Linked DNA regions of Canis lupus familiaris. The protein of the gene in region 1 interacts with the protein of each later gene in a biochemical or structural test. Links are inferred from orthologs where the notes say so. Each region holds a gene or a part of one and is shown on either strand. Other genes may lie near its edges. The genes, in order: LOXL1 and FBLN5.

Evidence for each region.
Region 2: the proteins of LOXL1 (region 1) and FBLN5 form a complex in vitro, tested with the Homo sapiens proteins (2 studies listed by BioGRID and IntAct). The link is inferred for Canis lupus familiaris from reciprocal best matches to the Homo sapiens genes LOXL1 and FBLN5.

The regions. Positions count from the first base shown.
Region 1 is NC_049251.1:37,620,568-37,625,055, reverse strand, and holds the start of LOXL1 (lysyl oxidase homolog 1), read right to left. Parts: upstream 2,884-4,488; coding exon 2,619-2,883; intron 2,519-2,618; coding exon 1,232-2,518; intron 1-1,231. UniProt on the Homo sapiens protein: Catalyzes the oxidative deamination of lysine and hydroxylysine residues in collagen and elastin, resulting in the formation of covalent cross-linkages, and the stabilization of collagen and elastin fibers.
Region 2 is NC_049229.1:1,286,127-1,289,925, reverse strand, and holds part of FBLN5 (fibulin-5), read left to right. Parts: intron 1-2,218; coding exon 2,219-2,473; intron 2,474-3,799. UniProt on the Homo sapiens protein: Essential for elastic fiber formation, is involved in the assembly of continuous elastin (ELN) polymer and promotes the interaction of microfibrils and ELN. Stabilizes and organizes elastic fibers in the skin, lung and vasculature.

The DNA.
Region 1 (4,488 bases):
GTGACTGCAGCCCGAAGGGGTCAACGGAAAACCCTGATCGAAGCTGACTTTGGACTTGCAATAGCCACCTAGCCTTGGCCAGGCCACTCGGGGGCCCTCAGTGCGGAAGCCTGTCTGCCACAGCATGTGTGGAGCTGTCCACCGGAGGAAAGCTGCCGCTTCACGGGGTTGTCCCTTCACGGGCTTCTCCCGTACGGATGGCTTGGGCCTTCCCAAGACCAGGTCACAGTTTTGCATCCATCCCCACCCTCTCCCCCGCTGAAAATGAAAACGCCAGAGGGAGGCCGTCTCCAGCTCCCTCCTGGGGCTCTCCCGGGAGCAGCTGAGCTGAGCGAGAGGAGAGGAGCGAGCTGAGCTGAGCTGAGCGAGGTATGGGCCTGGGCACCCAAACATAAAAAATAATAATAATAATAATAAAATAAAAACCAGTAGCCAAGAGAAGTAGTATCTGCAGCAACACTTTTTAAAACTCAGAATCGGTGGCCAGAAAAATCTGTGACGGAACAAAATAATCAACATTTCAAATAAGTACAGGATCAGTCCGCCTCTGGCTCCCGCACCGCTCGGCGGGGCTCGGTTACTAATTGTGCTTGAAAGCGGGATACTACTCTGTTCATCACAGGTTTTTCTTAGACGTTTGCATGACTTTTGACCCAAGAGGCATTAGCATGTCACTTTCCTTGATCCCTGAGCTTTTTTTGACATCCGCCTTAAATTTTGCGCCCGGGGTCGGTGCCTCGCTCGCTAGCTTGGCCAGCCTGGCCCTGGCAGTGTCCCCCCTGCTCCCCGAGGGAAGTCCTGTTGTTCAGTCTGGACTGCGGCCTGGGCCACGAGGTGCCCCCCTGACCTCCTGCGCGTCGCGGGCCAAGCTCACAGATGCTAGGGGCTGGGATTTTGCTGCACGTCCAGGGGCATCCCCCCGGGAGGCCTTAGCGCACCCACCCCGAGCGAGACCCAGCTTTCCCCCTGCCAGGCTGGCGCTGCGGAGGGGGGTGGGCGGGGGGCGGGTGGCAGATGCCCCCCTACTCCGTTGAAACAAGGGAGGGGGGCAGGCAGGGGAGGGGGAGAGCGTCCTTCCCTTTGTCCCCAGCTGACCCCCACCTGCAGGTGCAGGGGCCTCCTCCCGCCAAGCCCGGCCAGGTGCCGCCTCTAGGGGTGCGCGCGGGCCTGGGGGCCCCGGAGGCCGCGGGGGCGCGGGGGCACGGGGGGGGGGTCCCGGGCGGGTACTCACCGCGGCCGCTCGGGCTGGGCCGGTACACGCTGCCCACGCTGAGGCGCCCCTGCTGCGCGCCGGCCCGCTCGGCCCCGGGCGGGGGCGCGTCCGAGCTGCGCAGCGGCAGGTAGGGCGGCTCCGGCGCGCGGAAGGGCGGCTGCGGCTCGGCGTGGGCGTAGGGCGGGAGCCAGGCGAGGCGCGGCGCGGCGGGGCCCGCGTCGGGGGCGGCGAGCTCGGGGCCGGCGGCCTCGTGGTACAGGCTGTGCGCGTAGCGGCGGTCCAGGCCGTCGGGCGCGGGCGCGGGCGGCGGGGGCGCGTAGGGCCGCTCCGCGCCGGGGTAGAAGGTCTGCGGCGGGAGCTCGGGGGGCTCCTCGCCGCCGCCGCCGTAGTCCTCGTAGCGCGGCCGCGGCGGGAACGGGTAGGCGCCCCCCGCGGAGACCGAGGCCGAGGCCGCCGCCGCCGCCAGCGCGCCCCCCGCGCCGCCGCGGTAGTACACGTAGCCCTGGTCGTAGCTGCGCGACCCGGGGTCGTAGGCCTCGTACTGGCCGACGAAGGGCGCCTGCGGCGGGGGGAACGGCTGCGGGAAGGAGGGCTGCTGGCGGTAGGTGGCGGCGAAGGCCGAGGCCGCCACGGACGAGCCCGCGCCCGCGCCCCCGCCCCCGTGGCGCGGCGGGGACACGGCCGTGCGCACCCGCGCCAGCCCCGCGCCGTCCCCGACCGCCACCTCGCGCCAGTTGTCGGGCACCTGGCCGAAGCCGAAGGGGTGGCGCGCCTGGCCGCGCACCGTGTCGGAGCCCGCGCGCCCGGGCAGGGGCTGCAGGGGCTGCAGGGGCTGCAGGGGGTGCGCGGGGAGCGCGGGGAGCGGCGGGGCCTGCCTGCGCCGGAGGCCTCCGGGGCCGCGCCGCGCCGGGGCCTGGGGGGCGCCGGCCAGCAGCAGCCGCGAGCTACCGTCGGGGCGCGGCGGCCCGGGCGCCACGTACTCGGAGCCCGAGTTGAGCAGGCTGTACACCTGCCCGTTGTTCTCCCAGCGGATCAGCTGCCGCCAGCGCCCCGCGGCCGCGCCCTGCCCGGGCCGCGCCTCCTGCCCGCGCGCCAGGGCGCAGAGGCAGGCGCCCCACAGCAGGGCCCGCAGCCCGCCGCCCGCGCCCGCGCCCGCGCCCGCGCCCGCACCCATGGCGGCCCCTCGGCACAGCCCCCGCGGCGCGGCGCGCGCTCCTCTGCCCGCGGCCTCCACGACGGCTCGGCGCTCCGCCCGCCGCGGCTCTAGCTGAGTCCATGCCGGCCGGGCCCCGCGCGGCGCGGCTCCTCCGGGGACGGCATGGCGAGGCCGCGGGCGGGGCGGGGCGGGGCGGGGCGGGGCGGCGCCCGGGGCGCGGGGCTCTCGGCGGGAGAGGGGTCCCCGCACCTGCCGCCCGCGCCGCGGGAACGAGCCGGGGCCGGGCGCGCCGGGAGGCCTGGAGGCCGGGAGGCCGCCCGCCGGGGCCTCCTCCGCGCGGCCCTACGGCCCGCCGGCTTCGGGCCCGGCTCCCGCCGCCCCAGCGAGCGCGCAGCCAAGCCGCAGACCTGCCTCCGGGGAAGGCGGTGAAGCGGGGGGGGGGGGGCGGGGGGGGGGCGGGAGGCCTCGCGCGGGGCCCTGGCAGGCGGAGCCGCGTCGACAGCCCTGGGACCATTTCCCCCAGCCTTGGGCTCAGCATCCCTGGGCTCGCGCACTGGCTTCTCCGGCCCTGAAGGAGCCCCTAACCCCTGTTCACTCCCGCCGCCCCCCCCCTCCCAGGACTCCCCGAGCGCCCCTTCCCCGAAGCCAGCCCTAAGAGACCCCCCTTCTTGTTGATGGGGACATGCCGAATCCCCCCTCCCCCTGAATCTGGACCCCAGTTCCTTAGGCCTGAGCACAAAGGGGCTGGAGCTGGAGCGTCAGCTTTTCCCCCCTCCTGGCACACCTCTTGGCCTTCCTCTCCTGATGGGTCTCCTTGGGGACATGCCGAATCCCCCCTCCCCCTGATTCTGGACCCCAGTTCCTTAGGCCTGCGCACAAAGGGGCTGGAGTGTCAGCCTTTCCCCCCTCCCCGCACACCTCTTGGCCTTCCTCTCCTGGTCTGTAGAACGGGGTGTAGAACGGGGTGTGCCCCTGTGCCCAACAGAACTTGTGAAGTCACGGGAGAGGTCAGTTTCTCATACATTGCATCGCATGGTTTCTGTTCTCTCTCTCTCTCTCTCTCTCATCAACATAGCCTGGCAATAATCTGAGGGTGCCTGTGGGTAAAATGCGACCCAGGGGCTGTCTTTGATGGAGCAGAGGAGGCCTCGAGTGCTGAGGGAACAGCAGGAAGGGGGGTTCCGGAGAGCCAGGCCTGGTCCTGTTGTTGTGATGAAGTCCCTGGGGGTGGGTGGGGGGTCTTGGGCAAGGCCCTTCTCCGTTCTGATCCAGTTGCCACATCTGATCAATGGGGGATTCGGGCAGATGGTCCCCAAGAGTGCTTTGAGAGTTTCTCTGTCTTCTCCGAGGACAGCGGGGATAGGAGGGGTGCCAGAAGTTTGAACCTTGGCACCCAAGGAGTCACCCTCTGACTGCCTCCCCTGGGCTGCCTTCCCCAGCCTCACTCATGCGTGAACTGGAGGGCAAATATTTCCCTCCTGTGCTTCTACATCACGTAGGAAGAACTTGTCCTTCACTTGGCCTCTGCAGATTCCCCTCTGCTTTGGAGACTCCTGGAGCCCACCTGGGAGAAGCAAACCAGAGTGGACATTCCTCGGGGACCCTGGAGCCCTGGCCCTCACCCTTGCCAGCTGGCATTTGTTCACCCATTGCACTGTGCCTGGGGTGAGGCTCCATTCAGCGGACTCCTGCCGGCAACCCTTCAACACAGGCCCCTCAGTTACCTCATGTGGGGTTAAGTTTCGGACCCCAGGTGGGACTCCGGCCAGGAGTCACCCGTTTGGCTCCTACAAGGAGCCAGAGTAAGAGCCAGGCTCACTGGGGGCCGGGACCTGGAGGGTTAAGCCTTCGAGGCCTCCTGCCTGCCCCCTGCAGTGCGGGCCCCAGCTGCTTGGAATCCCTGGTGTCCCGTAGGGCCCTCCAACCAGCCAGATGGGCAGCAGCGCCAGGAGAGGAGGAGGAGAAGTGGAAACAGGCCTCAGGGTACCCCCAGTCAGGGAGGGGGGAGGGAAGAGGAAGGATGGAGGGAGGACAGAGGATGGCTGCGAGGTAGGGGAGCCCCACCAGCTGAGAGTGGAGAGGACCCCTCTTCTAGAGCCAGGCAGAGATGGGGTTGTGG
Region 2 (3,799 bases), on another chromosome or scaffold:
TTGATATAAACACATCTTCACCCACCTTATCCATTCCTCTGCTGATGTACACGTTGGTGGCTTCCACGTCTTGGCTCTTGTGAACTGCCCTGCAGGGAGCATGGGAGTGCAGGTGTCTCTTTGAGGTTCTGCTCTCATTTCCTTCAGATAAGTACCCAAAATTGGGATTGCTGGACCATATGGTGGTCCTATTTTTAACTTTTTGAGAAACCTCCAGATCCCTCTCTGTAGTGGCTGCACCAGTTTGCATTCCCGTGGCATTTCCCACAGTTGCAGGACTGGAGCCCCCAGGTCCTTGCTGGCTGTCAGTAGAGGTCTTTCCCTCCTCATCCCCTGCCTCGTGGTCCCCTCCTCCATCTTCAGAGCCACCACTGTGGGTTAAGTCCCTCACAGGCTCTGGATCTCTTCTTTTCCCGTTGTCACATCTCTCTGACTGACCCTTCTTGCCTCTTCTTCTGCTTTTAAGGACTTCTGTGATGACACTGGGCCCACTCATGTAATCCCCCCACATCTCAAGGTCAGCCGGGTAGCAGCTTAAATTCCACCTGCTACCTCATTTTCCTTTACTGAGTAGCCTGATGCTGCCACCAGTTCCGAGGATGAGGACTGACATTTGGGGGCTATTCTCCTAGTACGTCATCTGGTGGAAAAGGTAGACCTGGACAGAGAGAACACCGTATGTGCTGGAATAACAATCATTGCCAAGTTAAGGCCAGAGCCATGGGCCCTACAGAAGTAGGGGAGGCAGTGATGTCTTATGTCAGGGGTCAATAAAAAAAGCCTTCATGGAGGCCACATTTGAATCTAGTATTTTTTTTAATGTTTTATTTATCAGATGAGAAACATAGGCAGAGACATAGGCAGAGGGAGGTCCTGGATCCCCGGACCCCGGAGTCATGTCCTGAGCCACTCAGGTGCCCCTGAATTGAGAACTGAGGGATGAGTAGGATCCTGAGAAATGGCATCCCAAGTGGAAGAAACAGCAGAAGTGAAGACCGGGGTGGAAAGGACACTGCGAGTACAGAATAGTTTGCTGTGGCTGGAGCATAGCTCCTCTACCAGGACAATAAGGCAGCCCCACTTGCTCCCACCTGGGGGGTGTATTTAGCTTTTTGATTATATTTGATGGAAGCCAGGGGCTGTGTCTTCCTGGAGCTCACGTCAGCTAAGACCCAGAGGAGAGACACATGGTTCCCAAAAGTGATGAGTGGTGAGGAACAACACAACCCTGCTGTGGAAAACCTGGGTGTGCACTTTGATTAGAGGCACTGGGAGACGGGGGTGCGCCAGGGGCAGAGAGGGGGGCAGCGGGCCATTGTTTTCTGTCCCACCGGCCTTCTGGAGGGCCTCAGGCTTACGGCTGCAGATGGGGCACCTGAGCCTCAGCATTTCCCTTTCCTGGTGGGCCTTCGTGTGCATTTCTTTGGAGGGGCTGCTTGGGGTGAGCCATCGGGCTTCCGACATGTGTCCCCCAGGCGCTGGCCCCTGTGGAGTGACCCCAAGGCTGCGACAGGGCCCAGCGGGTAGGCTCAGATAGTAGGCTGCTATGCTGGAGCCAGAGCCCAGGGGTCCCCTGCCCCATCCTTGCAGGGCCGATTTTCTCAGGAACCTGCCTCCTGCTCCTGGCATGATGAGCAGAACATTAGCCTGTCTGGAAATGGGCCTGTTGTGGGCTCAGTGTGAGCTGACCTGCAAGGAAGCCTCCACTTTGCTAATAGGTGGCTAGCTCTCAGCCAGGCCGGACGTCTTCCTGCGTGCAAGCGGCTGTCTCCCGTGCCCAGCTGTTATTTGGAGTAGAGGTGGGAGTAATGATTAGGTCTGTCCCCATGTTTCCCAGGGGCACAGGGGGGCCTCTGAGGTGTTACTCACAGAGAGATCCTCTAGTTTAGTATTTATAGATTCCTTTTTCCTGTTTTTCCTTCTATTCATGTTAATTGATAGTGTTTTTACTTGGGCTTCAAATGGGGGTGATAATGTTTTGTGGATACGGCCCCCAAATGGTGATGTGGTCTCTAATGGCTGATGCTCAGGTGACGCTGGTCAGTGTGATCCCATTTAGCCAGCATGTGAGAGTCCCTGCAGTGATGAACCAGGGACTCTCCTCAGCGTCTGGGAGCATGTGGTAGTGAAGAGGTCTTGGGGTCTTTGGCTTAAATATGCAGCACGTAGGGCATGGGCAGGGAGCCGCTAACACTCATCCTTTCCGTGGCCCTTCCAGATATTGATGAATGCCGGACCATCCCTGAGGCCTGCCGAGGAGACATGATGTGTGTTAACCAAAACGGCGGGTATTTATGCATCCCCCGGACAAACCCAGTGTACCGAGGGCCCTACTCGAACCCCTACTCAAACCCATACACGGGTCCGTACCCAGCAGCGGCCCCACCACTATCAGCTCCAAACTACCCCACCATTTCGAGGCCTCTCATATGCCGCTTTGGATACCAGATGGATGAGAGCAACCAGTGTGTGGGTGAGTAGCCTGGCATCTCCGGCTTCTGTGCTCTGGTCAAGTCCTAATCCCGCCACAGTGAAGTCTTCACTCACGAAACAGTGACTTCTTACTTTCTATGAAGTTCCTTCACGTTTAGCAGCCCGTGTCTCTGGGAACCCTCCCAGCTGGGAGTAGCTTGGATTGATGTACGTGAGGGTTCTTCATCCAGAGAGCCAATTTTTCTTCATTTTCATCTGTCAGTCTGTCTCTCTGTCATCTATCTATTTAAAGACGAAGTTTATATTTTTTCTGTTTGATAAAAAATGCTTCTGGTTTCACTGAGTAAATCCCAAAGAGAAGATCTAGAAAGGACCAGCAGTTTCTCTGCAACACTCCTCACCCTCGAATGGAATGTATACTCTTGAAATAAAAAGTCCTGAAGGCCACGGCCAATTGTTCTGGAAAGAGAGTGGGTTCCTTGGGTGGGTGCCAATGTTCTTTTGGCTAAAATGTGAGCCTCACTGATGGTAATTCACAGCAGGAGTAGACCTCTGGGAAGAAGGCGACACCAGAGGCTGTGAGGCCCCCAGGGGGTTGGCAAGCTGTTTGACTGGTGCCCTAGTGAGCTTTGGTATCTGTGGGACAGGGTGGGCCTTGGCAGAGGGTTACCTGGGATCCTCTCTTGGTTGCTTTGATGGTTGGACTAAAACCTTTGTAACTATTTCTAACTTTGGCAGATGGACTAGAGCTATGATGGACTTTTTTTTTTTATCATATGCACCCCATATCCAAGATCATTTTGAGCCTGAAGCCCCATTATAGACATATTTATAAATTACATACATATCCTGTTATGCTAATATGGTTTGAGGAGTGTAATGCATCCATTCAAAAATAGAACATTTTAGAAGATGTGATAGAAATAAATGTGCCTTGAAGCTCTGATACTTCCTTCTGATGTCCTCAAAGGTCTGGAGACCACTGGTGTACCTAGTGAGATTTTTTTTTTTTGTTGGTCCCATTTCAGGGCTCTGAAGCATTGAGCTGTTAGAGAGGCTGGGTTGATTATTTCATGACGTCTTCTATACGTTCATGCAAACGAGTGTCACATTGCCATCTGGATCCATGCAAATAGTATGCAAACAAGTAGCCTGCAGAGTTGCGAGGGGAGAACTTCTCCATTCTTAGGGGTTGCGAGGGACATGGGGTGTGTGAGTGTGTGTGTGTGTGTGTGTGTGTGTGTGTGAGAGAGAGAGAGAGAGAGAGAGGCAGAGGAGGAAGAGAGTGAAAAGGAGGGGTGAGGCAGGGAGGGGAGAGCTGGTTGGTGGTCACTCTGAAGGTGAAGAATGTGGGGTCCAGTCAACC